4 linked regions of the Drosophila melanogaster genome follow. The protein of the gene in region 3 interacts with the protein of the main gene of each other region in a pairwise test. Each region holds a gene or a part of one and is shown on either strand. Other genes may lie near its edges. The genes, in order: kibra, cg, CG10086 and CG10918.

Region 1 (8,462 bases), 6.9 Mb from region 3:
TAATTGATCGCAAATTTTGTTTGGCGAATTGAAAAAATACGTCAGAATCAGGGACAAATCGCAGAAAATATTCACTCATTGCATTTTACATGGCTTTAACACTGATTTTGGCCAATTGTTATCGTCATACGTATGTATGTATGGCCAGAAAAGCATTATTAAGCGACCGTTGTAAAATGGCCAAAACGCTTAAATATGTGAAATCCGCCATGGCGGTCGAGTTGGCAGCAATTGCCAAATAATACAATTAGACAACGAACAAACCCACCAAATGCCAACTGAATCAAGGTCGCGACTAGCAACAAATAAAAAGCTCTGTGCTTCGCGGGCATTAAATATTTAAATAGCGGTGGCAAATAAAAAGAAGCTACTGTTGTTTTCTTTGGGTGGTATGCAAGTTACATACATATATGTTTGTGAAAATCCTCAAGGTAACTCCCGAATCGAATTTCTTGGGTTTTTCGGACCATGCTTAGTTTTGACCAAGTTAAATATTCGACTTCGAACTGGGCTTAAAACGGGCTTGAAATAATTACTGTTTCCGATTGAAAGGCATTAATTAAGGTAATAATACATAAATGCAGTGCAAAACTAGCTTAGCACTTGTTTAACTAATTAAATGGATTTTTTATAATATATAAAACTTAGCTAGTTAAATTCAAAGAAAGTAAATAATATACACAGTATTTGGCATTTAATCAATTCCCATACAAGATTGCTAACAACACAAATTGGATTAATTAGTTTTATTTTCTTTCAATTGAAGCAAATGGAAAGCTTTTTGGTTTTTTTTTTTTACATTCGGCGGGGTGCCAGATCCTCGAATTATTCCGTTTGTTTCTATTTTATTTTGTCATTTTGTCTATTTGGTTTTTATTTTATTTTCAATGCTACACGCATGCGATTTGCATGTCTTATCGGCTTGGAAAATTTTGTATTTATTTGGAATGTTTATTCACTTGTGCTTTCGATACAGGCCCCCAGTCACCTGAAGTTCAACCCGTACATTCGTCGCGGATACCGCACCTTTCTACCTTCCACAAAAATGTGCCTGCAGAGCATTTTCTGGTGGACCAATGAGACGGTAAGATTGCCACACTAGAATGATACTCCATTCCAATTGGAGCTACAATAGTTTTCCTTAAACTCTATTCCCTATTATTATAACATTATTATTGCTATATTTTTCATAGATCAACATCTGGAGCCATCTGGCCGGTTGCATCCTGTTCATTGGACTGACCATCTTCGATCTGCAGTTCCTGCGCCTCCACGCCTCCCTGAGCGACCAGGTGCTGGTGGTCTGCCTGCTGGTCTGCTTCTGTCTGTGCATGCTGATGTCCGCCATATACCACATCTTCTCCTGCAAATCGGAGGAGCACTACGAGCTCTTTCTGTCCGTTGACTTCCTGGGCATTTCGCTGTCGCTGGTGGCCATCTATATCAGTGGCATGTACTATGCCTTCTGGTGCCACACCTTCCTGCGCACCCTGTACTCCACGATTGCACTGGGCATGTTCGCACTGGCCATTGCCGTGCAGATACCCCGTTTGAATGTGTCCATGAACGGCAAGGTGGCGGTGCTGCTACTCTGGTCTGCCTATGGAATCATACCTCTGGGCCACTGGGCGGTGGCCATGGGCGGTCTGGAGAACGAGCTAGTCAGGGTAGGCATCAGTTGGAAATTTATGGAATCTTGTCATTTGCTAATCCATCAATCATTACCATTTGCAGCTGATGGTGCCCCGCATCGTGCTCATGTACTTGCTCTGCCTCGTCGCCTTCGTTTTCTATGCGGCCAAGATTCCGGAGCGCTGGTTCACCGGCAAGGTGGACTTCGTTGGGCATTCGCACAACTGGTGGCACCTGATCATCGTGGCCGCCTTCTATCACTGGCACAACACCGGACTGGTCTATGCCGAGTATCGCCTGAATAACGGATGCACTGCACCAGTTCTCTCCTAGAACTTGAAGATCCGAACATCTGAGTTAAGATCCGAAGATCCGAGGAGCGGAGATGGAATCCGGGACTCTAGTAGACTAAAGCTTAGTGTAAATAGTTTATGGGGCGCTCTTTATCCGCTAATAACTAATATTTAGTTGTAGTTGTTGACCGATATGATTAATTTATGTTTAATTTACCAATTAGTTAGGGTTTCGTGTTAGACAATCCAGATCCAGATAGTTGGCATCGCATAAGCGGCAAAAAGGTTTCTCTCTTTATATCCTAATTGATTTCCTTTAATATATACAATTAAACAATGTCAATGAAATTGCATGTGTCTTGAGCTGAAGCTGTGTTAGTCTTGTTGACTCAATTTTTACAATTCATAAAATGCAAATACAATATCAAACGTACAAAGCAAGCGAAATTGTGGTTTTATTGAAGTTATGTTTCGGAAACATAATTTATTTTTCTATCTATGGTTGGGATACATATTGATTTCGAAATGCGTAACTCAGTTTACAGTCTTTTTTTTTAAATTTTTTCTTTTTCTGTTTTTAAAATGTAACGGAAATGTTAGGATTAAGATAACAGTAATTGTTAACAGAGCGAGTTAACATGATCTATCGGAACTGGCTTTGATTAACATCGCTTGAAGAACCGAACTAGTTCCTGTTACCAAGCCGATCTTTGAACGTACAACTCCTATTTTCTTCCCTCAACAATTACACCTATGCTTGGGGACTACACAAGCCAAATAACAATAAATACTTTTCGTGCATGATTGTTAAATATCGCATCTCTGCAACCGCGTCAATACAGCCTATAATATCGATATCAACCAATACATCGAATAACATCGCCGCGAGTGTATCGATATGCAATGCGATGTTTTCTGCTACACCACTAGCAGCGAATGTTACCAAAACAAATTCCGAATCCGAATCGGACGGTCATCAAGCGCGCTACTCGTGTTTTTTGCTGCTCCCCCAAGGAATTCCGGAACCGAAGAGATCGGCGACGGCGCGAACTCACTAAACTGAAGTACATATTTTTTTGTGAACACCAAGTGGATGGTTGGATTATCGTCGTTAATTAGTTTCAATTAGGCGAAAATAAGAAAATAAGTAAAGGAGTTCAAACGCTTGCAACAACAAGAAATGAAAAGAAGCAGCACCAACTGTGAGCAGTGATCGTGTGCGCTTGTGTTCGTCCCCCATATGTGTGCGTGTGTTTGAGCTGGAATGGAATGCAGTTACGAAAAAAGTAAATAAATAATTGAGAGCGCGCCCGCGCTCTCCCGCTCTCTCTCCCCTGCGCGCGTGTGTATTCGAGTTGGCTCGGTGTGTGCCTCTACGCCCGTCACCGTGTGGCCGTGTTGTGTGTGTGTGTGTGCGGGTCGGTCTCCATTATCGCCGGAGCAAAAGAAACGGAATTGAAATGTCTTTGCTAATGTAAACAGCGCAAAGAGAAACCCCCCGAAAAAAGAAGCAAACGTAGATAGCAATAGCGAAAAGAAAGAAAAGGCGCGCGTCGGGTGAAAAATCCAGCAACAACGACGTTTTCTCAGACTAACCAAAGTACACGGCGAGAAACAAAGTTAAAATGCCGAATCTGCAACAAACCGCATCGCAATCGCAGCATCATCTGCATCCCCACCACCTGCGACCCCAACAGCAGCAACAGCAACATCATCATCATCATCAACAACAGCAACAACAACAACACACGCATCATCAGCAGCAGCAACAACACCACAGCGACTTCCCACTTCCCGATGGCTGGGATATCGCCAAGGATTTCGATGGCAAGACCTATTACATAGATCATATCAACAAGAAGACCACCTGGCTGGATCCCAGAGATTGGTAAGTGTTCCGGAAAGGGTCAATTAAAGAAACGAAATTGAAACAAGGGCGATCTGAAATATAATTATAAGATATTTGCATTTGGAAAGTTAGTTTAAACTTATTAAAACTACTAGAACAATTATCAGAAATGAGGCATACATAACGAATGACCAAACCAACAGGTTGTGTTTTAAATAAGTTATAGATGCTTTAACATCGCAAACTATCAAGAGTGCTTATAAACCCCAATTGCTGCTTAATGGCTAATAAGTGAAGCAGATAACTCATTGAGAATCAAATTAAAATAGAATAAAATTCTTGGCAAGTTGTTAGTGGCTTAAGAAGGCATAAAACGCAGGTGAGAGATCAGCAGTTCACTCATTCAGGAAGCTCCGGCAAACGAGCTAAAAAAAAAACCCATATAAATTCCGATTCCGAAGCGCTCTTGAACCGGAAAGAAAAGGTGCGTGCTGCAGCTGTGTGTGTAAAGGAATGCGATCGGTGGAGGCGAAATGAAGCAAAAAAAAAAAAGAAAAATAAAAGGAAAATAAAATAAAGAGGCAGCAGCAAAATAAATTACATATTTTAAACAAGACAGCAGCGGCAGCAGGCAAAACAAAACGCAACGGAACGGGGGAAAAACTTGGAGTAAACATTCCGATGCGATGATTAAGACTCCGAATATAACTGAACTGAACAGAGAGTGGCAACAAACAAAAAATGGATTGTAAAGCCAGGGAAATACAACAACAAAAATTCGAGTGAGAGAGAGCAAAAGTTAAATAAAGCTCGGCGAATGATCTGTAAAATAAAAGGAAAACAAAACCAACAAACTCATACGTAATGAGTGCGAGAGAGCCAAAGGAGAGCGAGCGAGAGCGCTGGCGATCAGGCCATGTATCTCATAGATACATTTTAGTTTGCCGTTCGCTCACATTTTTTGTCTTCCATCTCGCTCGCGCCCCTCGCTGCCGCCCCACTCGCCATCTCTGTCTGTTGCTTTGCCCATAAACAATTGCAAAATGTACGTAGGAATTTTTGCAGTTTCGAAATAATTGATTTCTGAAATTCTTCGCCCTCTCTTTCGCTGAGTTCAATTTTTCGCTTTTCACAGATAGAGAAATGTGTAGTGTTAGATGGATTTTGTATCTTCAATTGCTCGATAGCAAATGCTTATTGCCTTTCTGCAGTTGTACAGCATTTTCATTGACATTAGACACACTCTATAATTTCAATATCACGTTGCAAATGATTTATTAAGCCATCAAAGCTTGAATATTAATTTTTTCCAGTGCATTTCTATCTGTGTACGCCTTATTGTTTCAGTTCGTTTGGTGCTGTGTGCGCTTCACGCTTTCAATTAACACAAACATTCCCTTTGTTTGTTTCAAATCGCATGGACATTGTTGAAAATGTTTCACTGAATTAAGCGTTGTGGAATTTCAGCTCTTCCGCCCGCCCGCCTTTGAAATTGAAACGAAACATCTGCGCATTTGCTAGGGTTATGCATCAAGTAGATTATAAATGCACACATGTCGTTCAAATGTCTGCCAGTGGGCACAAAAAGTCAGCGATCTATGAGCGTTACGTTCCGATTTCGGGGTTATAGAAATTTAAAGCTTAAATGACCTTAGGGGATTTACTTACTATTTGAAAAACCAATCAGATTATGAAGAGGGATACCATAGAATATAAGAAATAAAAACAAGAGTAAATGTTTTATTGGTATTTTCTGTATACATCTGCAAAGTATGTCTTCGAATTTAACTAACTATTCCATATTTTTCCAAAATAGTTTTACCATTTCTATTGACCAAACAAAACTATTTAATGCTGTATACACCCCTTATTGGTATTTTGCCCAGTCGCGCATATTTTGTATCCAAATCATATACGCTTTTTGGTCCCCTCTTCGGCTGTCTATCGATCCCCCGCATCCAACTTGCTATTGCTATTGAATTTTCAAAATTGCTGCCGGTAGCGCGCAAAAATTCCAATAAACCATAAATAAATTTCTACAATAAAGCGAAGCGAGCCAGGCCTCGGGCAACCTTTAAAGGCCTCGCCACGTTTCGAGCACAGCCAACAGAAATCACAGAAAAAATAAATATCTATTCCAATATGAGCATGCAAGGTCGAATTATCGATACCCTTGAAATATTTTACCGATAATTGCTTGGGCCGGCTTTGACGCAGGTTTTTCTAAGGTTTTCTAAAATTAAATAAACATGTTTGCAATAGTTTAACAGTAGATTCTGTTTGTAATGTCTATAATTTTCAAATTCGGCTTAAGTTTAGGCATTATCCTCATTAGATAGTAAATCGTGTAAGATTCAATCAATTAATTAGATGACTTTTGTCTGTAAACTAATAAAATGACTGATCAAAATAATGGATTTTAAAATTCGCAGCGTATTCAACTTAAGTAAATGTTCATACAGCATTTCGACGGGCGGTATTTTTTGTGATTTTCGTTGCTGTTGGCTCTCTTTTGTTTTTTGTATAAACAAAAGTTAACAACGACTTGACTTGGCCATGCGATTTGGCATTTTTTCGACGCCCGTCTTCTTCTTTCGTTGCTCATATTTTTTCGCAAGTTTTTGTGTATTATTTTTTTTACCAATTGTTTAGCCATAAACAAGGCGGCGACATAGTGGAATATTTTTCGTGTGCGTTTTTAGACAGAAAACGTGTTTGGTGACAGTATTTCGATCTATTCATAGGAGCTACAAAAAAAAGAAATAACCAAAAAAGCACGGGGAAAAAATCAAAGTATGAAATAGCAACAAAATCGTTTGGCTACCAGTTGGGATAGTGATTCGAACTCGTTTGTTTTACATAAACTCAAATCGCCGCCAAAAAGGCCTAGCGAAAGCGGTTAACGATCGCTGTCATAAGTCGGACAGAGTGGCGCCAGCGGCGGGGGCTGTACTTGAGTATCTGCATCCGATCGGTAGCACAGAAAAAGATATAAAAAAGCAATAGGTGCACCGCAAGAAACGGTGCAACGGTATTCTAATAAATGAGTCAGTTCATTGGTATATCTTACTACATTAACTTAACCTTATCATCAGTATGTTGCCATATTTCTCGCTGTGTACTCTAGTCCCAACCAGATTGTTGCGTTCTAATTCCACCTGTGGCATTTTAATTCGAGAGCGGACAATCGAGCGGTTGGTTCGATTTCGATGGATCGCCGGATGGCCGGATTGCTGGATTGCTGGATTGCTGGATCGGCCAATTGCATAAAGAACGCAAATCGGGCGATCGAAACAAGAGCTGCAAAATAGGGGAGAGGCGTGAATGCGTGTGCTGCCAGGCATTGTGCATTAGATGTGGCGATTTCTATCCGACTCAAAACGAGCTAAAAAAATTTGCATAAAATTCAATTTGGCTTTTGCGGCGAAAGATGCCAGCACATCCATACGCGTATGTATAAAGATACATGCATATATAAGTATAACTATTCGTACATATATATAGATATATATATATATGCGCTGGTCTGTACATGTATAGCAACTTGGAAAGCTGCAAAACGGCATTTTTCATTTAATAAATTGCACAAGGCAATGCAGCAACAACAGCGGCAGCAAGAAAAGTGGAAAGAATGCAGATGCAATTGCCGTTTGCTGCTGCTGCACCTACAGTGATAAATGCCATAAAAACAATGTCAAAAGATTGCAAAACAGTCTTTATTGCACCCAAACTGATTCAAATGTACAAGTAGCGAGCGTAAAAGATAGATGAAATGTTTCAATGAATACGCTAATACATATTTCAGTTTACGTTATTGTAGTAACATTTTAAATTGCAACAGCAGTGGCACTTAGGCAATAACCACTGTACGCGGGCAACAGATGCAGATACACGGCAGCGGCATCAGCAGCAACAACAACATGCAGCATGCATTGCATTTGTGCAACAAGTATTTCCACTTAACAACAGCAACAACAGGCAAGTAGAAATTGTTGTTGCTGCTGTTGCAGTTGCTGCTGCTGCGACTGCTGCTCCCTGCTGCAGTCGAAGTTGAAGCCGTGATTACAATTTGATTACGCGCATGAATGCAACGCGCGGCTTTGCCAGCAGCAACATTTTCTAGTTTGCTTGCTGTACGCGGCCCAAAGCGTTAAAAAATATTTTCTTTTGCACTTGCGATCAGCGGCAGCAGCATTTGCAGCACTTGCAGTACCAGCAACTGCAACAGCGACACTCGTTGGCCAAAGATAGGCACATGGGCACATAATGTATCTGACAGATACATAAGCGAACTTTAGTCGCTCCTCGCAGCACCGCATGTTTTGTCCATTTAAGCGTCTGTTTTTCCACCAGAGCCGCGGCTCGCTGCAACTTGCCACCAACTGCCATCTAAAAAGTGGCAACAACTTCCAGCCAACGACAACAACTTCCCAGCAACAACAACCACGATAACGCGACGGATCTGCAACGACTTTTCCTGTCTCGCACTTGTTGCATGTCAGCGTCGACGTTCTTCAGCAATCAACACTTGTGATTTTTATCAAGCATAATGATTTCCTTTTCAACATGTGCTAATTAAGAGGGTTGCAGGGAAAAGCGGAAAAACAAGCCAAGGGTTCGCCACTTTGCAAAGAGAATTGAAGTATAACATTTTAAGTCTTATAATAAAAGTTTCCATTTCTACTAAA
Region 2 (8,777 bases), on a different chromosome or scaffold from region 3:
TGCCGCATACGGTGCACGAATGGGGAATCTTGCCGTGAATACGTCCGTGGTTAACCAATTGAAACTTGCGTGGAAACGAAGCTCCGCATTCGGCGCAAACAAATGGATTCAATGAACCGTGGAAGCTGTGCGGGAAAAACCAATCAACAGTCAAGCGAGAAAATCATCGATATTATTAAAAGAGCCAACTTACCGAGAGTGCATAATCAGGTGGTTTTCCTGCGCAAAGCTCTCACCACATTCCTCGCATACATATGGTCGTTCGCCGGCGTGGAACTTGCTGTGCGTGACCAGGTGTCGCTTAAGCGGAAATGCGCGTCCACACTCCTGGCAGACGAATGGTCGCTCCCGGCTATGGACCCGCGAATGGGTCAGCAGATGGTGCTTGAGGGTGAAGCTCTTCTTGCACTCCTGGCACTGATAAGGTCTCTCCGTGGAGTGAAGCAGCAGGTGAGTGTTGAGACAGTGCTTGTGCGCGAAGCTCTTGCCGCAATGGGTGCAGATGTGGGGGCGTTCACCTGTGGGGCAAACGGAATGATTAGACCTGCTCAAATGTTTCGGGTATTCTGCCAGGAACAAGAACAACCACCTGTGTGCACGCGTGCGTGGGTTGTCAAATGGTGCTTGAGCAGAAAGGACTTGCCGCACTCGTCGCAACTGTACGGGCGTTCCTTCTTGATGGTGGCGTCCGTCTAAAAATAAACAGATAACCCATTAGTATATCACACTAATAATTCAGTTGAACTTCGTCCAAAGAGATTGGCTTACTTCGCTGAAATGCATTGATTCCTGTAGTTCGGTCTTCGGGGACAACTCTAATGTGCCTGGCTCCAACTTTAGGTTGGGTGCTTCGCCTTGCGAGTCCTCGTTATCCTCCAGTCCTTGTATGACTTTCTGCACTTGAACTGAAATACCAGGAAGTATGTCACCTAAGAGTGTTGTTGCACCGCCAACGGAACAAAAGCCAAATGGAATTCAAAGGAAGATACAAAAAAATAGAGAAGAAACAAAGGAAAAAAATCAAAGATCCGAACAAACTGAATATGCAAAATCAAACTATTTGGGTTCAATTGGGTTAATCAAACTTAAAACAATGTTAGACCAACTAAACAATGGCAAAAACTATGATTACAACGTAACCACGCAACCAGGTAAAAGCAACCGGAACCGAGAATGTACCAATATGCCGGGTATTTTCCGGTAGGATTACTTCAATCGGGGATCAGATCTGATTGTAGTGTGTAGTGTGTGGAGGAGTAGGTGGCAGGAGGGACTGGATCAGGGGTAACAAACACAGATTTGAGATGCTTACTTGGTGTCCCGCCGGACGCATGGTGATGGGATCCGTCGGCAGCGGTGATCGTGTGCGTCTGATGGTGGCCGGCAGCGATGGCGCGCTTGATCAGGATCTCGTTGCACTCCTCTTGCGTAAGATGCAGTGCTCCGATCGAGCTGAAGTGCGACTTGGCCGCCGCAGATCCGGCGGTTAGCACCGTCTGTCCGGTCTTCGCATCAACAATGCTGCCATTGGTCAACGTATGGTGGTGGGCGAGACCCGAATCCCCACCAGCGGCGGCTGCAGCTGCTGCGGCCGTGGCCGGATCCACTAGCAGATCTGTTTTTTCAATTCGATGGGTTGATACGTTTCATTTCGGTTGAAGGAAGGTTCGATCAGCCCGCGCCCGCCGCCCGCCAAGTGATGAGGTGTTGTGTGTGTGTTATTATATGGTGAGATGGTAATGTTGTAGTTTTTATGCGGTGCAGTTAACGAGATGATCGGTGGGTCGGTGGTGGATCGGGTGCAATAGCAAAATCGGGCAAACACACAAGCACAATGGGATTTATCGGAGGAGATGGTGGATTTTGGGTTTCGGTTTCGGGTTCGGTTTTTCGGGTTGAATTCAAGGGCGAGCGAGATCGAGCGAGAATTAAAAAAAAAAATAAATTAATTAAATAAATAAACGGGAGTAGAGAGAGAAAAACAATCGATTAACAGAAAACCCAAAATATATAGATAATCACAACACAGTAACAGCAATGCGTGCAACACTGAATCGATTCGATGGGTTTTTGATTCGTTTAGAATCGATCCACTTACAGTTCTTGTCGAGGCTCAGGACCTGCTGATTGTTGTCCTGCTTCTTGACCACCGTCGATGCTCCGCCGGCAGTGATAACTCTGCAAGGGATTGAGAATTAGGTATATGTACATTGGGGATCTCTTTGGGCTGCTGGAGCGCCAACGCACCTTTGTGTTCCAGGCGGAAATGAAGGATCGTTTACGACGAACATACGACGAACGACATTATTTTTGCCGCCAGCTGTAAGGCCTTTGACATCCTTTTGAACTGCCAATGATCCATCCGTCGATAGTAGATAGGGCATCTGGAACAAAGACTTTTAGTACTCATGGCTAATGGGGATAAATTAAAGGTTTGTCCTAATTTCTAAATAAACTTAATAATGCTTATGTTGTAGGAGTTGCATGTTTAGTTTACACGTGGTCCTGGGAATTGCGATTTTAGGAAAGCCTGGCTTACACATTTTTTTTATAAATCTATCTTTCATTCAAGAAATGTTACATATCAAACAACAAAGGCTCTTTTATATAAAAGAATAATAAATAATTTTTAATCTATGTACATTGCCCCTAGTCATTTCTACAATTTTAATGTCCCAAAAACGATTTAAACAAATGAGAGGAAGTAAACTTGTAGCAGTTTTATTGTTCAGCTCAAACTTATGAATGAATTGACCTTCATGAACCTTTTTTTTTTTGGGAAATTAAAACTTGGCAGCAAGTACAGTCGCCACTCGCTAAGATCTGCAGGCTGTGATTTGGAGTTGTTGGCGGTTGATGCTTCTATTGGCCAAGTGCTTGTCTTTTGTTTTCGCTCTGATTGATAATAACCGCCAATAACCACGCTACACCTGCGCAGCCAGCAGTGCGGCAACAGATGATAGACGACGAACGAGGGGGGAAGTTGGGCGCTAAGAGCGGGAGGGGATGTTCGCAAAAAGCGCGCCTTTTTCACTCTGTATGTGTGTGAGTGCAATTGGACATCGTGGCATGGGAGTGTGTGTGATGGGCGCCAAAATGGTGCGGCAAAAGTAATCAAAACACACGCACGACACCAAACGCACACTGGGGAGCACACGTCATTTCTGGTCGAGTGTGCGTGCATACATACATACACACACATACAGAGGGCAGCAAGCGCGGCGAATTCGGCACTGACGCACACATGCGGAGATATCGGGCGCGCAAGTGCGGCGAATTCGCCGCGTTTGCCATTGTATAAGTGCCCGCAAATATAAACTAAAAAACAACAAACACAATTTCTCCTGTCAATTGCACAACAAAAAATATTGCTCTCAAAAAAAAAGAAACAAACAACAAAAAAACCTATGGATAAGCAATAATTATTAATAGAACTTAAATTAGGTTAGCGATATATGCATGAATAGCCTAGAAAAATATCGATTAGCATCGATTGCCTGTACCAGCTGCCAGACTTTTGAAAATTTCACGACCTTCCCGCTAATTAACTGCTCCGATTTGCCTGTGGGGGGAATTTATTGCTATTTATTTATTTACTTGCTCGCCAGGTGCGCGTGTTGTATTTTGGGAATTTCTCCGCACACAGAGCCAATTGTGTACGCATTCGTTTTACAAATACCAAATTATGAATGTTTACGAATGAAATGGAAACGAAAAAAATCCGTATGGATGTATGCTAAAAGAATTCTAATACACTCGCTCCATCCCCCCCATAAAAACATACATACGTACGTTCATTCGTACATATTCGTATATTCGCATGACAACGCAGTTACATAAAGCGTGTGGCGTATGCATATATACGTTGTACATGTACGTAAGTATGTATATCGCAGTTGCTGTCGCTCGTTTTCCACGTATACCGTATACGTGAATGCCATTCGGGCCGTATACATACACAGTTCGTTGCCGAAAGCAGCGAGTGTTGGTGAGACGAGCGAGTCCGTGAGCGAGTGTAACGCAGTGCGTGTGTGCGTTTGTGTGTATGCATTGGTGGGCCACAACACAATTCGGTGTGGGAAAGCAACAGCAACAGCAGCACCAACACCCACACACGCACGCACCTGGAGCAATGTCGGCAACAGGGGGGAAATATCCTCAGACTGGCAGCTTTCAACGGGTTTATCAGTTTAATAGAGCTATAACTTTGGACTCACCGACTCCCCGCTGACTGTATAGTTGATGTTGGGCGATATCTCCAGTACCGATTCGGCGGCGCGGTTGCCGTTGTCCGCAAAACCCCAGGTATAGCCGAAGGGCGGCGGATTCTGGGCGGCACACATTATTTAGCACAATGCGGGTTGAGAAAGATAGAGAGAGAGGGGGAGCGGGGGGTTTTTTTTTTTGGATGGGAGGACGGAAGAGAAAAAAGCGCAAAATTTCCAAACGCAAATGTAATTGCACTTCTCGCTTGCTTGTGGTATATGTAGGTATGTATGTATGTATTCTAAAGCACGTACAAAATACTATCCTCCTCTCTAGTAGTAGTAAGTGGAAATTGGTAATGGTATTTTTGCGGCTGTGTTCGAAGCCAAAATGTACACAACAAATTCGAATACGTTTGGGGGGGTCTCTCTCAAGCACTTTTTCATCAATTATTCGTTATGTTTTCTTCGTTGGGGATATCGCACTGCGACGAAATCGAAATAAAATCACCGAATTCGCTCGCCGACGACGAGACGGGGGCAAGCAACTACTAACTATATAGGACCGAAAAGAAAGTCAAGTTGCTCTGGCTGCGGGCGCCATTTTTTTCCGTCCCTCGGTCTCAACGAAAAAAATTCACTTGGCGTTGGGGAACACACACTCCATTGATAACACACACTCTCCGTTTTGCGTTTAGGTGTCGCCTTGGCGTGGGTGTGCGTGTGCGCCGATGTGTGTGCACGCGCCCCGTGTGACGATGTGCAGTTTTTGCAATTAAATTTATAAACAAAACACTCTTTTTCCTTCAATATAATTCACAGACACAGACACCACTGAACAAATTCCTTAGTGTTCGTGCTTCTCGTTCTCTGACGCCATCTTGTGTGTGCGCAGGCCAGGGTTGTCGAGGTGCCGCAACTGTCTAACATGGGCGGTCGGAGGTGGCAACGCTGTTAGGGCTAACTAATAGTGTGACCCAATCGCTTGGTATTGTTAAATTTTCCCTCAACGGTCATGCTTTGCATAACAATTCACATTTTCTGATTGAAGAATCCTTATTTTATGCCAAAACTTGTATTAGATATATAAAATATCGGGATGTCTCTATCGCCAGCCAGTGGCATTGGTCGTTTCTACGCCAAGTCGGCAAAAATCATACGTTTCGTACGCCTGGGATGCACCAATCGGCCTTTTTATCACATTGTCGTCATGGAGGTGCGTACTTTTAGGCCATTAAAATGGTTAAAACTTTTAATTGGTAATTGTATTTTCCGGTTTAGAGGCGCAAGAACCAGCACCAGCCTGTCATCGAGCAGGTGGGCTCCTTTGATCCCCTGCCCAACGATTACAACGAACGACTGGTGGCCCTGAACACGGAGAGAATTCGCTATTGGCTGGGCAAAGGTGCACACTTGTCCACGCCGGCTGCAGAACTCCTGGGAATTGCCGGACTACTGCCCATCCACCCGCGCACCTACATGACCGCCTGGCGGAACCGGAGGACAGCTGCTGAAGCGGAGGCGTCGCCAGAAAAGGCGGAATCAACCGCATAAATATAGTTGTGCCTCAATAAAAGCCTCCTTTTCGTTTTTACGTTTAACAAACGGAGATTTCTTCTGGTTCAGCGAACACTGGTGCTCTTATCAACAACAAAATGAATACAGAATTAAAATTTATTGCAAAACGTAACCAATACGAGGTGAGGTTGGTGACCAGGCCCAAAACCAAATGCATGGATAAGCGAGAAGCGGTCGGAGCTACGGTACATTCGCCTTCTAGTCATGCTTCAGCACTCCAGCGGCTTTCTTCATGCCATCATCGATGATCCTGTCAACGGCTGTGTGCAAATATTGATCTCCTTTTAGTAAAATTGCAATATCTAAGAGGTGAATTTACTCACATTCGTGATGTTTCAGGAAGTAGGGTCGCACCAGCTTGTTGTAGATGATGGTAGAACCATTCTGTTCCGTGGGCAGCATGCACCAGATGAGGAAAGCACACTACATGTGGAGTTGAAGCATTTAAAAGAAGATTCTTATATGTGAAGAATGCAAAGCTCACCTTCAGCAGCCAGTAAAAGGGAATCACCGAAGTTAGCAGACTCGAAAAGAATTCAATCACGGTGAAGATTCCAAACGTGACCCAGTAGATCAGCCACTTGGTGTCGTCCTGCTTTGTGCTGGACTCGATGGCATGGATGGAAATATATGCAGGGTACAGAACCCCAATGATGTTGCACAGTAGTTGGGCGCCCCAGCCAAAGATCAGGTAGATGGCGCACAGACCAACAGCACCTACATATGATGAAATATAATACCTTATTAGTAAATAGCATTAAGTCACTGCTGGAGCTCTACCGTAGCGCAGGAGGGGGTTCTCTACGAACAGTTGGACAATTTTGCTCTCTAATTCCTCGACTGCCATGTTCGCCATCTAGTTGGTCAATTGATATTGCCCTAGTGGCGCATTTTCCCTTATGGCTATAAGCAGGTCCAAGGGCAGGAGCGGTTCCACAGGGCGCAGGGTGATCAGATGGAGTTAACACTTACAAACTTTAGCTACAAGACTAACTGTTCCAAGGGCACAGTGCCAGGTGCTCGTACAGCTTTCAAGGGCGCCCCTTCGTGGATCCCTGGGGTTTTTAAACCGCCCCATGCCGTTGGCTAATTATAAACCCTTAGCTGTTGTCAGTAGATGTCTCGACCTGCCTCTGATCCCGGCCAGTTGCATTTTGCCCACCCAGATGAGCGGACTACGGCCTGTTGTTTTGCCATAAATTTATGATGTCATTCATGCTCGATGGCGGCTAATTATATTTATACCCTGGCTGAGGGTACTTTAATTTGAGCAACATCATTGCAAAAAGGTGGGTTTCATTACAAGCCACAGAAACTATATCCTTAGTCGATCAGATCATTTGATGTGAATTGCGAATTCTCCATAAATGGTTGTTCCCTAATATGCATATATTTGTTTACACAATTTGTTTTGATTATTAAAGTATGCCGAACTGTTGAACAGCTAATGAGGCCAAATGTTTGTATGATGAATCAACGTCCGTCATTTTTGCAAGTGTATATAGACTTCGGTTTTGAAAGATAGCTACTTTTGCCATTATGACCACATTCTCACCTATGCCGAGGTAAACCAAGGGAACTCTGACATTGCGCCGCGTCTCCTGTCGCTGTCTGATTAGCATAATATAGTCCCAGAGCCACATCGGTAACTCCGGTGAGCACCGAACGAACGAACTGAAAGCTCTACCAACGCACACAGGTGAGTGAGTAGATTGGCTCCACGTGTGCCGACAGCGCCACGTCTCAATAATTCAGACCTTTTGACCCCGCCGAACTGGACTTTCTCCAGATCTTCGTCTAGAGAATATGGCAATGGAATGCGCCAAATGTATTGCTCACCGCGTACTGGGCAAAAAAAAGTGTACTTTCGTTGAAGTAAACAAAGAAAAGCACAAAACATGAAACTTTTGTGGATAACAGACGCACACATCGCCAGCTGTCTACGTAGTCGCTTACACGCACACATCGCATGCTCACAAACTGAGGTGTATTGGTTGCAGGCACTCGGTGATAATATAGACACACTATTTAATTGGGCTTTGCCGTTTAAGTCGTCTGTTTAATTCGTTAATTGGTCACCTGGCGGCTATTAAGCCCCCCCGACCATCCTGATTCAGCCACATACACATTGCTATATATAACAGGTTGCTATTTATAAGCATCCCGAAATATTCCACTGCATCTCTAGGCTAATCTCAATGGTTACGCAGTCAACTAGCAGAAGGTTACATGGGCGTTTCGGCGAAGGACATGCGATGACGTCGCCAGGATATTCCACACTCACCCACGAAAATATTGACCCGGTCCACGCCGGTCTTCTCCTCCACGGTATCGAAGACTTTGGTCCACGGCTTGGAAGCATCGCGCAGCGATTTGCTCACGTCATCCTTGTAGCCGTTTAAGAACTGCTTCACCTGAGTGGCCATTTTGCGCAAATTGTTTTTAAATATATATAGTCAATCAAAAATATGTGACGCCGCCGACTTTCCAGATGCCAGTCGATAGTTTGTGCTTGCGCCTATCGGTGCCAAATGGACTATTGACAATCGAAGACATGATGCGTTATTGTTCGCATCTATCGCCGCCTATCGATAAGGAGAGGTCATACTAAAATTGCAATACTGGCGGCTTTTTCTTTTTCACAGTAAATATTTGCAAACAGCAAATAATTATTTTAAGCTTTTATTAGAAAGGTAAATATGTTATGCAGCAAATTACATAAGAAAAAAAACTTATAGCAGTTGACGTGCATTCAATGGTAAACTCATGGGATCATTTTTGATGAACAATTTTATTATTTATAAAATTATAAATTTTAGGATTGTCACATCGTGGGACTTAACAATTGTATGCGAGGATTTACAGTAATCTAGTTGGCTCCATGAGGACTGGACTCTTCAGTTTCTGCGCTGGGAGAAAACATAACGATCTCGCAAATGGAGCAACTTTTCAAAAAACACAAATGTCAAGGTGGTGTGTGGAGCACTACGAAAG
Region 3 (8,756 bases):
TAACATCCAAAGCTAAATCAAAGTAAAATCATTTTATGAGATTATGTCTTCTTTTTTTTATGAGTTAGTGTTCCAACCGTACGATTGTGTTGGACGGTCAGTATTGTTTTGACCGACCAATGGGGCAGTGGGATCATGAGGTAGTGACAGAACGGGTACTGGTTGATTGGTAGCGAACTCTTCAGGGGGTTGAGGTGGAGCCGATGGCATGGCAAAGTTGGTGTACATGGGGTAACGCGGAATAAAGTCATCCGTGCGATTGTGCTCATCCTGATCGATGTCGATGAACCTTTCACCAAAGTTTGTGGCCTCCTCGAAGGTTGGTGGCTCTAAAAACATGAATAGTATAAGAATTATACAATGATCAAGCACCTTTAAGCATTTACAAATTCAAATGAAGAGTATCTATGATTTCGCTATATACTTACTGCACTTGTCATAACTGGGAGGCAGATCTGCGGCGGCTCCGGCAGGAGTGTCCGGCGTTTCCGGTATCCACTGTGCTGCACTGGCTGGATTCTCGGCACTTTGGATCAATGGTATGGTGCCAATTACAATCGGCACCTCAAAGTCCGAGTCCACGTGGCAGTCGCCAGTGCTGATCGTGAGGATAACTTGGTAACTAACCGAAATGATGCCTTCGGTGCGGGAAGAGGGCGGTACTGCTGGAATAGCCAGGGTTCCTTCAATTTTTTTCTTTGAGAGCCTCAAAACGCGCTCCTGCTGGCAACTTTTGTTGAGGCTGTGCTCCTTTTCGCGAGTTTTGTGGTGCGGCGTTTGAGCCTGGAATTTGTAAATCTGCTTAAGTTTCAGTTCGATCCCATTCAGATCATAGCCACTCGACTGGTTGTCAATCTCCAGAGTAAAGCGTATCTTCTGACCAGGCGCGTAACCACCGAAGGGTATTGTTAATGTCGATAGAACCGGGCCTGAACTGCAGGGCCAACAGCAAAAGTGCTTGATGTCCTCTCGGACTAGGGGCATCTGTCGAAAAAGAGTGTGCATTTATTAGTTCCTAGGAATAACTAATATTACCTAATTACTCTTATTGATATAATTTTAAAGTTTAATTAACATTTTTTTGTTTACATTTCTACAGGTTAGGATCGTAAAAAATTTATTTTTAATTTATTTAAATTTTTTATTTAGTCCCATAGCTTTGGTTTGAATGAACACACCCCTTGTTTGTTTAATAACTTCGGAATTTACGTCCATAAGGCACGCAATGTTTCTATACTTGAATGACTCGTCTAATTGTCCTTAAATATCTGTCGCAGGACAATTTAAAACTGCATTGATTTACTACCGATTAGTGCAATCTAAACTTTTAGTAAACTGTTCCTGTCCTTGGACTCACCAGCAATTGGGGGCTCATGTTGAGGTTGTAGGTCTGTATGACCGTCAGTGGCTGCTTGAAGACGTTGTTGAAGCGCCACTGGCGATCGATGACCACGGAGACCTCGTAGAAGATTTTTCCGTACTGGGCCACCACTGATGAGGGGCATTCCAGGGGCAGTGGAATGCAGAAGTTGTAGGTGTGCGTACCTGGCGGCAGATTCCCGGATCCAAAGACCGATGTCCGGGTGTACAAGTACTGCTGCTTGCCTCGGAAATACTCCGTGTAGTGCTCGGTCTTTCCACCTCTCGTCCTTGTTCGCCGCTCATCCCATCGCACCTTTGCCTCGCCCTCGAAAAGAATGTATACCTCTAATCAGAAAGTGAAAAGAGAGAGAGTGATATTTGAATATGGTTTGTATCCGAAAACGAATCTTTATATGTTGAACGTATGTGAAAGCCTTCTTCGGACTCCGAAGGAGTTGCTGTAAGTGCAGAATGAGATTACGCCAATCAAAAATGGAACTGAACATGGAAATTGATACAGAGCACTGTATCAAATACTTGTTTGCTTGTATACATACTTTTGTTATCTTTTGTAAAGCTTTCAAGTTTGTTTTTAGAATTGGCTATTTGAAAAACGCAAAAATTGATCAATGAATTTGTAGTTAGGGGCGAACTGAGCTCATCAGGGCATGCAATTTAGGATACTAGGAATTAAACATTTGAGACAATTAAAGCCACATAAATGGTCGCTAAAATCCTTCTTATATAAGAAGCAAAACACTTTATGGCGCTACAACAAACTTGTTTGTTTGCTGCATTCTATAAAACCGGCTTGGTGTTATCACAGAGTCAACAGTGATTACGCTCAAATTAAAAACATATCAGTCCATTCGCTTTTTAACGACTAAAACTCACCGTTCACAGACTTTTCGGATGTTGTTGTCAGAATGGCCCTTCCATTGACCGTCTCACCACTGTAGTAAATGGGTTCGCGGCGATCGAGCTCAAAAGAGCAGCTGGAAGGCATTTTGGAAATGCAATCTATTATTTAGTATGTGGGTGCTGGCACATATATTTCGAAATTCCAGATCTTATTCACTGGCGACGCGCAACGTGAATTTATTTAGCACCAGACAAGCGTCGCACCCGAAGTGAGAATTTAGAATGAGAATAGCCGGTCTGCAACAGCTGGGATGTCAGTGACATCATCACTTGGCGAGAGCCAAAGCTTTTCTGGTGAGCGAGCTTTTGGGGCTTCCGCTCACTAAAAAAAAAAAACAAAATTGAGAGGCATCGGATTTTGATAAACGGTTCTCTTTTTTGTTTGTTTTGTTACGAAGAATAAGGCAACAACAAATCTAAAAATTTGTAAACAAAAATCAGGTGGGTTCTGTGAAAGCTCTAGTTTAGTTGAGTTGTTATTATCGCGTTGTTATTATTTTTTGGACGAAATACGGTGAAAAAGAATCACATCAAGTTAAGTCGTCTATGGACTTAAGTCTGTGATAGTTGATTACGTTTGTTAATGATGATTTGTACTCATTTACAAACGCGCAAAAGTCCAAGAAGTTCCTGATTTTCTATCGTGGTGCGTAGCAACCAAAGGGTATCTTGACAGTCGAGAGAATGTTTGATCAGTATTAAGGCGATAAATGCATGTCCGTTTCTATGCTATATATTCTATATAATTCGGAATGGGCCGGATCAGATACCTGTTACTCAGATAGAGAGGAAGTTATACATTTTTTTTTTGCATTTTAATGGAAATTGTCAAGCAATAGAATTAGAAATTGGGAGCATGTATGCGTAAATCAAAATTTCTAGCTCTCATAAGTATTTAAACTCACGGACTGAGCTAGAAGTCCTCCACTCAATTTAATTTATAAATGAATAAATAAATTTGTAGTTCAATGCCTTCATGGACTTGGTTGTCTAGGCTATAGTCGCAATTTATCGCGTATCACCCAGTAGACACTTTTATATTCTGGGTTGTTTATCATTCCGATATACATACATATATAGTAAACATTTTGGTAAGTACACTGGCGAACCGTAAAAGAAATAAATACTGCCGAGATAAGATATAGTCGTGATTTTTCGCGATAACTGCCCTCAGATCTGCACGGGTGACTCCACTGGTTGTTTCTCCGGTTGTTGCTTCGACTGTCCAGGATCGGCAGGACGTCTGCGTCGGCGGCGCCTTTTCTTCTGGGGAGGATTTGGCGGCGGGCTCTGGAAGGTGTCCACATCGAAGACCGGATAGCGTGGAGTAAATCGGGAGGCCTCGCTGACCGTGTTCGCGTCCGTGTCCGCAATATCAGTGGTCATGAACATGGCCTGCTCGTAGGTAGGAGGAGCTATAGAAAAAATGACATAAAAAATATGGAGAATGAAGAATGAAACTATCGCCTCACAATAGCATAACAAAAATATAAAGAACATATACATAAGGGCTCTATTTAACATCTTTCATAACAAAGTCCTAGCTAGAAATATTTTGTTCTCTTGTACTCACGTAAATCTGGTACGAAATCGTCGGCGGCCTCCAACTCATCATCTCCATCCTCTGGAAGCTCGAAGTCCTCTAGATCCTCGGCCATCTCGTAGCCGGAGTTGCTGACCCCGCTTGCGGCCATCTGAGCCAGTTCCATGGCCCTTGTAGAGGTGCATGGCAAGTCGGCAGGCAGCGAACTTCCAGATGGGAAGGCGTTAGTTGGCAGGAAGTCCGGTCCGGACACCGCAGTTGCCAGGGGCACGTTGCCAATAGTCACAGGGATTATGAGCCGGGGATTAGCCATAAGCCAGTTCATAACAGCCACCACACGCACTTCGTAAGATACGCGCACCACCTTGCTTAGGTGCTCGCAGGTGGGCGCCGTTGCCGGAATCCTCAGGGTTTCCGTGTAAGTCCTCTGCGCATTATGAGCCACCGGACCGCACTCGCGCTTCACCAGCATTATCTTCTCGGATGTGGTGCGTAGCGAGGGCGTATCCGCCGTGTATGTGGCTCTCAAATGCAGCATGATCAGTAGCTTCCGACAATCGGAGCTGGAGTCATTACGCACATGGGCGTGGATCAACATGAACTGACCCGGAACATAGCCCTGCTGCTGGAGAGTGACCTTCAACTGCACGGGCTTCGTGTGCATCAGGCAAAAGTGTTCCACGGCTTCATTGCTCGCCGGTTCCCGGAGCATCTTGGTCTCCTGGTTCAAGTCCAGCAGCTTTAGCACAGTGAAGCCCACGTTGTGGGTGCGATTGGAAGCTCCTGGCTTCAAAAAGGTGACCTTGGCCAGATACCGGATGTGTCCATAGGCACCCTCGAAGGACGAGGGGCAGTGGCTGGGAATGGGGCAAGCAAAAGTGTAGGTGTACGTGCCGGCGTCCATGTTAAAGTTGCTGCCCTGCTCGGAACCCATGAGGTAAGTGGTGGAGGCTATATAGTCCTCCCGCCCGCTGTACTGGTGCTTTGATCGCTTCTTGGGGTTTTGGATTGCCACCGCCTTACCATGTCTGCGGATGCGCCACTGGGCTTGCGCATAGCCACTTATTTGCAGTTTTATTCCTAAAAGACAAGAAATATTAGAATATGTAGATCTTCAATAACATGACTTCTTAACAGAGAAATATGAGATGTGCTGACTAACATTTATAATATTTCCATAATAATACTATAATATAGGCTATAATATAGACAAAGAAATCAGTACCTTAATAAAAAAGTTAAAAAAAAATACAACGGGCTTCCTAATAAAACTAGCTCACTTTGTTTATCTCTTTGGGTTACCTCATAAGGTAGGGGTAATATTAGGATAAGATAAAACAAAAGCGAGAAGCACTGAAAGACATTTCCAAAAACAGTTAATAAAAGCGTCTTAGGGGCATTTTAAATTTAACTAATACGGAAACTGTTGACGCACACTATAAAATTATTCAAATTGTTTAAATATTTGATTTGGGCTGCAAGCACGCAGATGCAAAATGGAAATGAAATAACTTAAAGACAAAAATTAACCTTTTTTTTTTTAAATAGAAGTAGAAAACATATATTTCGAAGAATCAACAAAACTTGTTGTCCATATCACTGCAAAGCCCAGACGAAAACCGTGAGTAAGTTCCCTGGTATTTCCTCGAAAGAAAATATAATTCGTTGGGTAGATCCCCAACTATAAGTAAGGTTGTTATCGCTCCCCTTCGGCTCCAGGAATCATCAATTATCGCACATTTGGAGTGTCCGCATAGTTATCACTTAATTACCCATTTCAATGGTTTGTTGAATCTTTTGCTTTTGCCAAACCTGACATTATCCGAAGCGATAAGATACGCCGCGCTCGATAAGCGAAAGCCCCCACTAGTTTCCGTACTGTTGGGGTATCCTAGTTGGTCTTACTTACCTCGCAGTTTCTTGGTCTTGTTCAGATTGACAATCACCTTGCCGGTTATCACCTGGCCGGTGAAGTAGGTGCCGTGCTCATTCTGGTCGAACGTTATCATGCAGTTCTTCGACATGTTGGCGAATAGGTAATGGGCTTATGCCTCTCCAGAGCTTTTAGATTTGCGAGCGATCCTAACGCGCCCGCTGCTAAACACGAACTGGGCCAACTGTATTGCTAACATGGCCTGGACTCTCATTTTCAGTTTTACCGTCGGCTGGCATTATCTTATCGGCTCAACTCAGTACAAAACCCACTGCAATATTTGTCTATCTGGATAGTTGGCAACGCGGCCAGTTGAGAGAAATTCCTTCATTAATTTATTAACAACTTATGCGATAAATCAGGGACTCCATTATCCTCTATTTCTTTATTGGTACAACGCCCTATCATCGCTATCTCAACCTTGGGAAAACTGGCCCTCATCGATCAGTTCTGCCTGCCAATTTCGTACTTCTCAAATTGCTGTCACTTACATATGTAAATACTCCGATAGCAATGGTAAAAATTTGTGTTTAAATACTGAGATACCTATCGCATTGATAAGATAAAATAAAAATGTTGGCCAAATAAATGCTGCACAAAAAATAAAATAAAAATAGCCGCAGCGGGTGACTTCAGTTTGTTGGGAGCCACGACACAGACAGGGCAAAAGTTAAACAGCTCCCGGATTATCATACAAATTATTCCGCACAATGGTAATCTGTGAGATTGAGTTCTGCAATAATTCCCAAGGAATTTTTTATGCAGGCCAGTTGATTTCAGGACAGGTGGTCATTAAAACTGAGAAGGAAAAGTCAGTGAAAGGTAAGGCGCTGATTCATTTTGCTCTACTCAAAACAAACGTTACTTGCTAAAAGACTTAATTGATTTGAAGTGCAAGTGTTGCAGGGGCTTAAAATAGCTTTTATTTTTACTTCAGCTGTAATCCTTAACATCAAGGGATATGCCGAAACCCACTGGGCGGATACCGAACACGATCCGGATGATCAGTCGAATGGTGAATCATTCAACGGACATGTGGACTACTTGGCCACTAGGGCTTATCTGCACGGGTCTAGTTCCAGCATAGGTATGTTCGAAGATGATAAATCACCATAAATCTAGAGATAATGAAATCAAAGCTCCATTTCAGAGGTGCTTATTGAGCCTGGCACCAGCTCGTATAGATTCGCCTGTCAGTTGCCCATCACATGTCCCTCTTCTTTCGAGGGGACACTAGGTCGGATACGTTATCTGGTGAACGTGAGGTTCGTGCGTCCGTGGAAGTTCGATCTGAACTTTAATCGATGCTTCACTGTGATCAAAGTGATGGACCTGAACTCCGAAAGCCTAATGCTGAGGGTATGTTTCTTAGTCTCTCCACACACTATGGAATAGTCCACTGTACCATGTGTTGTACCAAAGACATTAGAATAATGTCTAATTCTAGTGTCTTTGGTTGTACCATGGTCAAGTATAAAATTTTATATTTTTATATTTTATAAATTTTAGGTACCTAGTCAAGTGGAGTCCCAGCGAACTTTCTGCTGTTTTCCCTGCCGCTCGTCGCCACTCAGTATGCGACTTTCTGTTCCACAGAGTGGCTTTGTGCCAGGACAGATCGTGCCGGTGGAGGTGATGGTCTCCAATGACAGTGGTGTAGCCGTGGAGGACATAACCGTAAAACTGACTATGGTGGTGATTTACTACAGTCAACCCCCGTCCGCGGACACCAACAAGGACCGTTTTGAGATGGTCCTGAAAACAGGCGGAGGTGTGTCGACCAAATGCCGGCAGCAGTTTACCTTCGATCTTAAGGTGCCGCCAACTCCGCCAACCTGCTTTAATCTATGCAGCATCATTCAGATCGGCTATCAGGTGGAAGCGGAGGCCAGAGTTAAAGGTTGTCATGGCGGCCAGTCCCTTCACATGCCCATAACTATTGGAAGTGTCCCGCTAACGAAGCAACTCCAAAAAGAACCAAGGACTTGGGGTGAAGTTCTGCCACCCCAGCAGCTAGATGCGAAGGCTTTGATTTTAATTGGCAGCGAACAGAATGGAGAAGCACTCGGAAGCCCCAATCCTTGGGCTGCGGATCCTTCAATTGGTGAGTAAAATAGGAGCTTTAAGGAAATTCATACAAAACTCCATATTCGAATTTAAAGATCATAATTCAAGGAATCACTTATTTATTTTAGCACCGCCGAGTTATGCTGAGGCTAAACACATCTCCCCGGATCCGCACAAGTTCTCGAAATCGAAGAAAAAGTCTCAGAAAAGAGGTGTAAAAGGATCACAAGAGAGGAAAGCTGAAACAATTGTGTTTTCACCCTTATACGCAGTCTTTGATTTGTCAAACCAAGTGGACGAAATGACTTTGAGAGCAAATGAACCCAAGACTGATGGCGGCTATGTCAATGAAGGTGTAGAAAAAAGCACTTGGCTTTAGAAGGGCTTAAAAATGAATGTACCCACTCTGTAAATAATTAATAAGTAATCGAAATACAACAGACATGACAATTACCCTGTGGTTGAACGCAAACTGCGGGAACTTTTCGTCGACCTCAGTGAGCAATATTTGCTGAGTTGTGCGATATCTTATCGATGAGTTAATATATTTATTTGAGTGAAATTGCTATCTTCAGATGCGAGAGCCTCAACTCATTTGGGGGCACTTGTTTTTACACCACAAATATAAGTATCAGCTGTTTTTGGACCTGATAATTCAGTTCTCATGTTAGCTGGTTACGAATGATCTATTTATTGTATAAAAAAATTGTAGGGGGTTTTTGGGTTTACCAATAAATAGATTTATGGGTGTACTGATAAGATAAATTACCAAAAGCTCTCCGTTGCACAAAATAAGTGGTAAGAAACTTTTTAGTTCAGTTTGATTGCGGCAATTGAAGGGAAAACATCTTAACAATTAACGACAGACTTAAATTCATTAAAACTTGTGCTTTAACCATAAAAAACCATGGGAATAATTTGCCAAATTCT
Region 4 (6,698 bases), on a different chromosome or scaffold from region 3:
AGGCACACTGAGAAAAAAAAATGCGATAAATGTAAGGTACATAATGAGACTATACAGTTTCTAAATAAAAAGGGCAGATGAAGGGATTTTTCGCAATAAGCTCAGTATTGAGTCGATATATTGCTAAGTTTTTTTTTTTTGTAGGTAATGGAGAATTGAATAAATTTTAATCTAATCGTGTTAATGAAATTGAACAGTTTCAAAGTATTTTTCAGAATTAAAATGAAATGAAAAACTATGTTTTTAGTTATTTTTGAAAATAAAAATGTTGCGTATCACTGAGTTAATTTGTGCTAGAAATGGAAATCAGGGAAATGACATTTAAGATGTTGCTGTGCAACTTACCATTCTCGCGCTGCCAATAATTGATGGCCTTCGGCGATGCCTCGACATTGCAAATTAATGTGACATCCGTAAGGACCGGGGCGCCGACCAATTGATTTGGCACTTGCACCAGCGGATGAACTGCGGAGGAGAAGACGGAGCAAATGGGTTGGGAGTCAGTGTGGATGGTGAATGAACCCGCGCCCGGTGGCAGTGCCAATTAATAAGCCATCAGTGGCCTTGTGACCTGGCCCACCCGCCTCCCCGTAAACCCGCTGAATCTCTGCTTGTCCTCCGCCCTAAACCCTCAACTCGTAACCCACAACGTTGCCCCCGCGGACTAGAGCGGCAATTAAGCTGGCCGCCACCAGGGAGCAAAGTCAAACTTCAAACCCTTTGTCTGACTCCGGATTCCCGATTCCAGCTGTGATTTTTATTTTTTTTTTTCGCTGTCGGTTAATGGCAGCAACGCCAACAACAACTGATACGATTTTAATTGAAAATGAATTATTTTGTTGTTAGAGTGGAAGTCAGCAATCCTGGCCAGCAATCAGGACCAGCAGCAGGACCACGAGCCTGCAGCAGCAGCAGCGCAGCAGCAGCATCATCCATCGTTTTCGCCCAGTGGTCAGTCAGTGGCAAATAAAACGAGCAAGCCATATTGCTAGTTTCTTTTCGGATTTTCCTATTTTCCACTCCCTACTAGGAATACAGTCACTTATCCGGCTGGGCTGGGAATTGGCTTTTCTTGTCGAAGGAGTGATGACCCCAGAACGGTTTAATGATTCCTCCACTAAAGCATCTTTCGTTTAAACTCTTGTATTTGCTTCAGCGATTTGTAAGATTTTTATTCAGAAACTATTACGCAATAGAAGAGCTCAATCTATCTATTCAAAATCATAAGTTTTCGGGATCTAAAGCTTAAAGTTAGATATTGAGAAACTATTACGCAATAGAAGAGCTCAATCTATCTATTCAAAATCATAAGTTTTCGGGATCTAAAGCTTAAAGTTAGATATTGAGAGAATATATAGCACTTGTGTTTGGGAAACAGCAGGGTGTAATTTTGTAAGAAAAGGGTTTCAAGGCCTTTAAAGCGACGAATTAATTGTTTTACACTTGCTTTGCTTCGAATAGAGCATTTTTAGTTCGCCAAGGACGTGCCATTAATTCATTGGGCTTGCCCTTTGGAGCTTTTCCATGTTGTCCGTGTCGTGTTGAGTTTGTTTTTTTTTTTTTTTTTGTTCTTTTCGGAATTTTTTGCAAGTTGATTTTTTGCGTTCTTTTCGTGTCTTTTTTTTCGAGCTTCTGGCCCCTCGCCCTTGCCTTTGACGTTGTCTTGAAGCCGCCCCAGGGAGCGCAGACGGAAAAGCGAAGGACCAAAGTACCGCAGGCCAGAGCCACTGACCATCATTGTTTTTTGGCTTTTCAACTTTGCTCCCACGTTCACCCACTGCACAGCGCTCTCGCCTCGAGCTGCATTCGAGCGTTCATTATTGGTCAATTTATTGGATTTGGACATTCCGCACTCTCAGCCCTCTTCTATATGGCGTCCGGATTTTCGGTCCCTACTCCTACTAGGTTCCCCGCACGTTTGTGCCCGTGCCCCCGTTCGTTGCACCACCCCTTTGGACTCGAAATGGTGCAGCATATGTCATGTGGTGTTCTCAGCGGTGTCGGGTGTTTCCTATTATGTCCAATTCTCGCTTAGCCTACCACTTATTGAAAATTCAATTTGCCCTAATAGAGCTATTCGGCAGGCAGCTGCCAAAATTAAATTATCAAAATAACTAGCCTTCATGCTGTTTACTTTATGATAACAAATGATGATATTTCATTAATCAGATGATTGATTTGCCTGTCGATATCGAAGAAATAACAGAAACGATAATTCTCTTAAGAGACAGCTTTCAATCTCATATGCTAATCGAGATATTTTTTGGTGCGAATCAAAGGTCTTAATACGAACGGACATTGCTGAATAGATTCGGCTAGTCTGTAAGACTAATATGACTGTATATGACTAATATATTCCAAGTTAATGAAATTAAGTTTCAATGTGCCAATTAGATTTTATTTTCATACATTTCCCAGAAAGTTTTCAATACGCTGCAATTGAGACTCAGAATCTATCCCGAACCAGTAGTGCTCTCCGTGGAGCTGCTATCAGTGGAGCTATCGGTGGAGCTATCGGTAGAGCTATCGGTGGAGCTATCGGTGGAGCTATCGGTGGAGCTATCAGTGGAGCTGGCAGAGGAGCTGCTGTCGGTGGAGCTGGAGGAGCTGCTAGTTGTGCTGCTGGTGTCGGCCAAGGAACTCTCCGTTGTCGTCCACCAAGGTCTTGGGCGACGAGGACGTGGACGTGGGCCCCAACCGCCAGGACCGCCGAATCCACCATTGAAGCTTCCGGGACCGCCAAAGCGGCCGGGACCTCCGAATCCTCCACCACCGCCAAGTCCTCCAGGCCCTCCAAAGCGACCAGGTCCGCCGAAGCCACCGGGGCCACCAGTACCACCAGGACCACCGCGACCGCCGAAGCCACCGCCTCCACGTCCTCCGAATCCTCCAAGACTTCGGCCACCGCCTCCGCCGCCACCGCGTCCACCACGTCTTCCGCCTCCCCCTTGGGCCACGACAACTGCCACCAGGGCCAGCAGGGTAATTGCAATGTAGGCACGCATTGTGGGACTTTTGCTCCAATAGCAACTGATTTGAGTTATGTACGTGTAGCCCCTTTTATACCCAAAAATTCGGTGTCGAATTCATCCATCAGCCTTTTTGCTAAGAATCCCCCGTGACGGCAGCATTGGCTGTGTGCTTAGCTGGATACTCCGAAGAATGGAAAATAGAGCGAAGAACTCCCTGAAGAGCTGAGCTCGAATTCTTCGCATCTAATAATCCGTGTGTTTCTCTTGTTTCATTCGTCGTGTGGCAACAGCTGGTCGATGTTTGAATTAGTTCCATTGTTCTATTCTTCTATTTTAATACAACCGTTTGAGTTTAAAAAAAAGTGCTGTGTCAGAGAGGGAAGTTTACAGAAATTTACGCAGTATCCTCACAATGAAACAAAAAACAATCATAACGTTAGCCAAATACTAAGACGAATTGTAAATTTGCTTAGAAGAAAATGAATGTCTATTTGAAGGTTTATAACCCTACTGCAAATTTTTGTTTATTTACTTTGTTTATTTGTTGTCAACAACTGGGTTACTTATTCTAATAGCACTCGTTTAAAAGTTCTCTTAAAATCTATGACTCAGTCGGAAAAATTATATTTTTTGTTCATTTTTTCATTTACATATTTATACCTGTTACTTGCTGAGTAAAGGGGTATACTAGAGTCGTAGAAGCGTATGCAACGGGTATCTGTTAGTCGGTTTACTCGACTATAGCATTGTTTTATACTCCAGCATCGAAAGTTGAATTTTCTCATGCTTTATTAAAAGTTAGGAACTATGTAAATTCATTAGTTTTTAAGGCCTTTCAATTGGTAACACTTATTCGCAGAAATAAGTCAATTGATTTGTAAATACACATGCTTAGCCTTCATTTGCGCCATTTATTTATGTCTAAAATCTATCTATATCAACTGCCAAGTAATAAACATATATTTCTTATATTAATAAAAAAATATGTATAGAAGATCGAACATCTTAGAGTGAATGTGGATTAAGTTCCTGAAAAGTAAAGCTCTGAACAGCTTTTCTGACTTTCCCAATTCGAGAGTTGCGGATGTCGAGGAAGAGAAATCTTTAACATTAGTGCTAATACATGGCAAACGACCTCGAGGAGCCACTTAATTTTCTGATTAGAATCAATCAGGGCGTCGAGTGAAATGTGCGGCTGAGACAAGGACACCTAGTTGGGCGGCGGGAGTGGGTGGCGTTTAAGAATCGCGAATATAGAATGGCGTTTCCCGCTTTCCGCACATATGGGGATTTTTAAATTGAAATTTCGAGGACCGGAAGGTGGGTGACTTCGTTTGGAGTAAAATGAAAATGAAATGACAAAGAAAAAGAAAAAGAAATTTGCGGCTTAGATAAAAAAAAAAAAAATATAAATGAAAATTAATTTTTGCGTCAAAAGTAAGTACATATGTGTGTGTGTGGCTGAAGAAACTGACGCCACATATTCACGACCGTGTCAATATAATTTTCGGATACAATCTTTTGGGTTTTCAGAGAAGCTGGTGGTTCTAGGTATTCTTCGCTGTCCCTCTTCTGCTTTCCCCTACGGCTTTCCTTCATTTTCCCGTACTTTTCCCCTTTTTCCGCCTTTTTTTCTGCGTTCTCCCAATTCCTCTTGCTTTTGCGCTTGCCCAATTGTCGTCGTTTGAACTTTTGCCCCTTTTGGAAATTTCATTAACTTTGATGCGGGAAGGTAAAACAGTTACAGGGGGGGTTTTTTAAGAGGTCTTAAAGGGGGTTTTTTTATGTGGGCAGACAGAGGGATAGTGCAGAACTGCAGAACCTTAACAATTACCACTTCACATGACACACAAACTCGCCAACTCACACAACTTTAAAGTTTTACTGCAGAAACGTGACGTTGCGTTACCCCAAGAAACACTTCACACCCGCCACCCCCCCACCCGTTTTCCATATTTCCCGTTCCCCTTTCCCCATATTCGTAGGGAAAAATGCCCTTTGACCCAACATCCACAAGTTTGGCGCCCTAATGCATTTGGAAAGTTTGTCGGCCACGTGAAGGAAGCTGCCGGATATCGAAACGGAAACACTTGCAGTTGCCGCCGCTGCGTTATTGCTGCGGTTCTGTTCCTGTTCCTGTTCCTCTTCCGCTTCCGGTTATAGTTCTGCCACATACATACGACTCCGATACGGAACAGCCCCCTTCTGGAACAAGCACAGCACAGCACATCCGAACGGGGCTATATGTTACCATTATGATTATTATGCGGCATTAGCTGCCTTCGACTGCCATAAATCAGTCCATTTTCTTGGCCAACGGCTGCAGGTGGCGCTACCCATTTATCATGTATCATATATGGATAGTTATATACTGTAGTGGTACTCACAGTGCACCTGTAGCTTCATCCGCTTGCTCACCGTCGGTGGCACTCCGTTGGAGGCAATGCACATGTAGGCGCCCATTTCCGATCGCGTGATCTTCGACAGCGTCAGCATTTCGCCCTCCACCGATTGTGCTGTGGGTGAGGAAATGAGTATTGTGGTATAGGGGTGAGTACATAACAATATGTGGTGGTTGCTTTAAAATGGGCTCCATATGTTTAAATTATTGTGTAAATGTGTAGTTCGGTTCGTCTGCAGTTGGCTTTAAATATTTGTATTGTTAATCAGGCAGGAAGCATACAAATTTTTTATTTTTAAATGCAATAATTCAGTTTTGCAAGTCCGTGAGTAGGATGCATTGCACTTACCTTTTGTTTTCTGGTGTGAGCCGTTGCGGGCAATAATCTCCCTGCCATCTTCGCGTCGCCACGTGATCTTCGGCTTCGGATGACCACGTGCTCGGCAAACGAGCTTGGCGGATCCGCCCTCTGGGACCATCATGTCCCCGGAGGTCTCTTCGTTTATAATGTCCGGTGGGATGACCACTTCCAAGGTGGCCGTCTGCAAGCGAAAACATTTCGGATACACATTAAATTCGCCATAAGGTTCGCTTATTCGACCTGTTATATATATTACGCATACGCCCAGTGAACCATACAGCCATACAGCAAGGTATATATATATATATATATATATATTAGTTCTTTTAAAAGACTTTAAAGTTTTTTCCTTTAATACAGAACTTAATGATTTCGAATCAGTATTTACTAAGCTGTTTTTTTAAATAATTTCTTGCCCCAATTTTTCGATATAATTTGTTTTTTTAATCGAGTTTAAAATATGTACATTTGAATCAATGTTCAACGCTTCATGCAATTGAAGGTGCCACTAATGTTAGCCCTTTTAATAAGTATTAGTCAACATTTTAGCTGCACTCAACGGCAAATAGCCGTCTCATTATAGAGCGCAATGTCCCATGCCCAATGTTTTTTTTTCCCCTTTTTTGCCTTTTTTAACATTTGTTTCATTCTGCGGTTGCTGGCTGCTAGCAACAATAACCGAATTGCTGCTATCATTGTCGTTGTCAGTTGACAGTTGTGTCATAAAATAAAGTTGACGTCACTGGGAAAAAGGAGAGGCTGGCTGGCAGCAAAAAAGGGAAAACCCCAAACGAGCCAAGCGCGAAATTTATACGGCGGCAGTGGGTAAAAAATGCTGGAAAGCAGGACGGCATGCGAGAAAGCTGGAGAAATGTCAAGCCTGTTTGCGTTTTATTTGTCTCATATTTGCTTTTCACTCAATTCGCTTTGTTAGGTTGATTTTATTACAAAGGGGGAGACGGGG

What was found.
Region 1: the proteins of CG10086 (region 3) and kibra interact in a two-hybrid assay, tested with the Drosophila melanogaster proteins (one large-scale study listed by BioGRID).
Region 2: the proteins of CG10086 (region 3) and cg interact in a two-hybrid assay, tested with the Drosophila melanogaster proteins (one large-scale study listed by BioGRID).
Region 4: the proteins of CG10086 (region 3) and CG10918 interact in a two-hybrid assay, tested with the Drosophila melanogaster proteins (one large-scale study listed by BioGRID).

The regions. Positions count from the first base shown.
Region 1 is NT_033777.3:14,718,662-14,727,123, reverse strand, and holds the start of kibra (kibra), read left to right. Parts: upstream 1-2,862; 5' UTR 2,863-3,550; coding exon 3,551-3,813; intron 3,814-8,462. Other genes in the region: CG7530 (uncharacterized protein), read left to right, coding at 977-1,084, 1,194-1,667, 1,735-1,965. UniProt on the Drosophila melanogaster protein: Regulator of the Hippo/SWH (Sav/Wts/Hpo) signaling pathway, a signaling pathway that plays a pivotal role in organ size control and tumor suppression by restricting proliferation and promoting apoptosis.
Region 2 is NT_033778.4:14,170,013-14,178,789, reverse strand, and holds the start of cg (combgap), read right to left. Parts: upstream 5,098-8,777; 5' UTR 4,344-5,097; coding exon 4,218-4,343; intron 2,385-4,217; coding exon 2,248-2,384; intron 2,179-2,247; coding exon 2,099-2,178; intron 1,616-2,098; coding exon 1,313-1,615; intron 966-1,312; coding exon of another isoform or gene 930-965; coding exon 769-929; intron 693-768; coding exon 590-692; coding exon of another isoform or gene 587-589; intron 519-586; coding exon 194-518; intron 126-193; coding exon 1-125. Other genes in the region: mRpS16 (mitochondrial ribosomal protein S16), read left to right, coding at 5,305-5,421, 5,487-5,759; ReepB (receptor expression enhancing protein B), read right to left, coding at 5,982-6,043, 6,107-6,206, 6,268-6,500, 8,068-8,209; CG18324 (uncharacterized protein), read right to left, coding at 8,681-8,777.
Region 3 is NT_033777.3:7,787,821-7,796,576, reverse strand, and holds CG10086 (uncharacterized protein), read right to left. Parts: upstream 5,945-8,756; 5' UTR 5,851-5,944; coding exon 5,736-5,850; intron 4,907-5,735; coding exon 3,857-4,906; intron 3,699-3,856; coding exon 3,454-3,698; 3' UTR 3,094-3,453; downstream 1-3,093. Other genes in the region: CG2641 (uncharacterized protein), read right to left, coding at 58-329, 429-984, 1,358-1,707, 2,257-2,368; CG18746 (uncharacterized protein), read left to right, coding at 6,470-6,581, 6,697-6,846, 6,910-7,118, 7,269-7,863, 7,955-8,205; CG18748 (uncharacterized protein), read left to right, coding at 8,734-8,756.
Region 4 is NC_004354.4:21,426,239-21,432,936, forward strand, and holds CG10918 (uncharacterized protein), read right to left. Parts: upstream 3,019-6,698; 5' UTR 3,006-3,018; coding exon 2,454-3,005; 3' UTR 2,376-2,453; downstream 1-2,375. Other genes in the region: DIP-beta (Dpr-interacting protein beta), read right to left, coding at 346-465, 5,360-5,488, 5,723-5,915.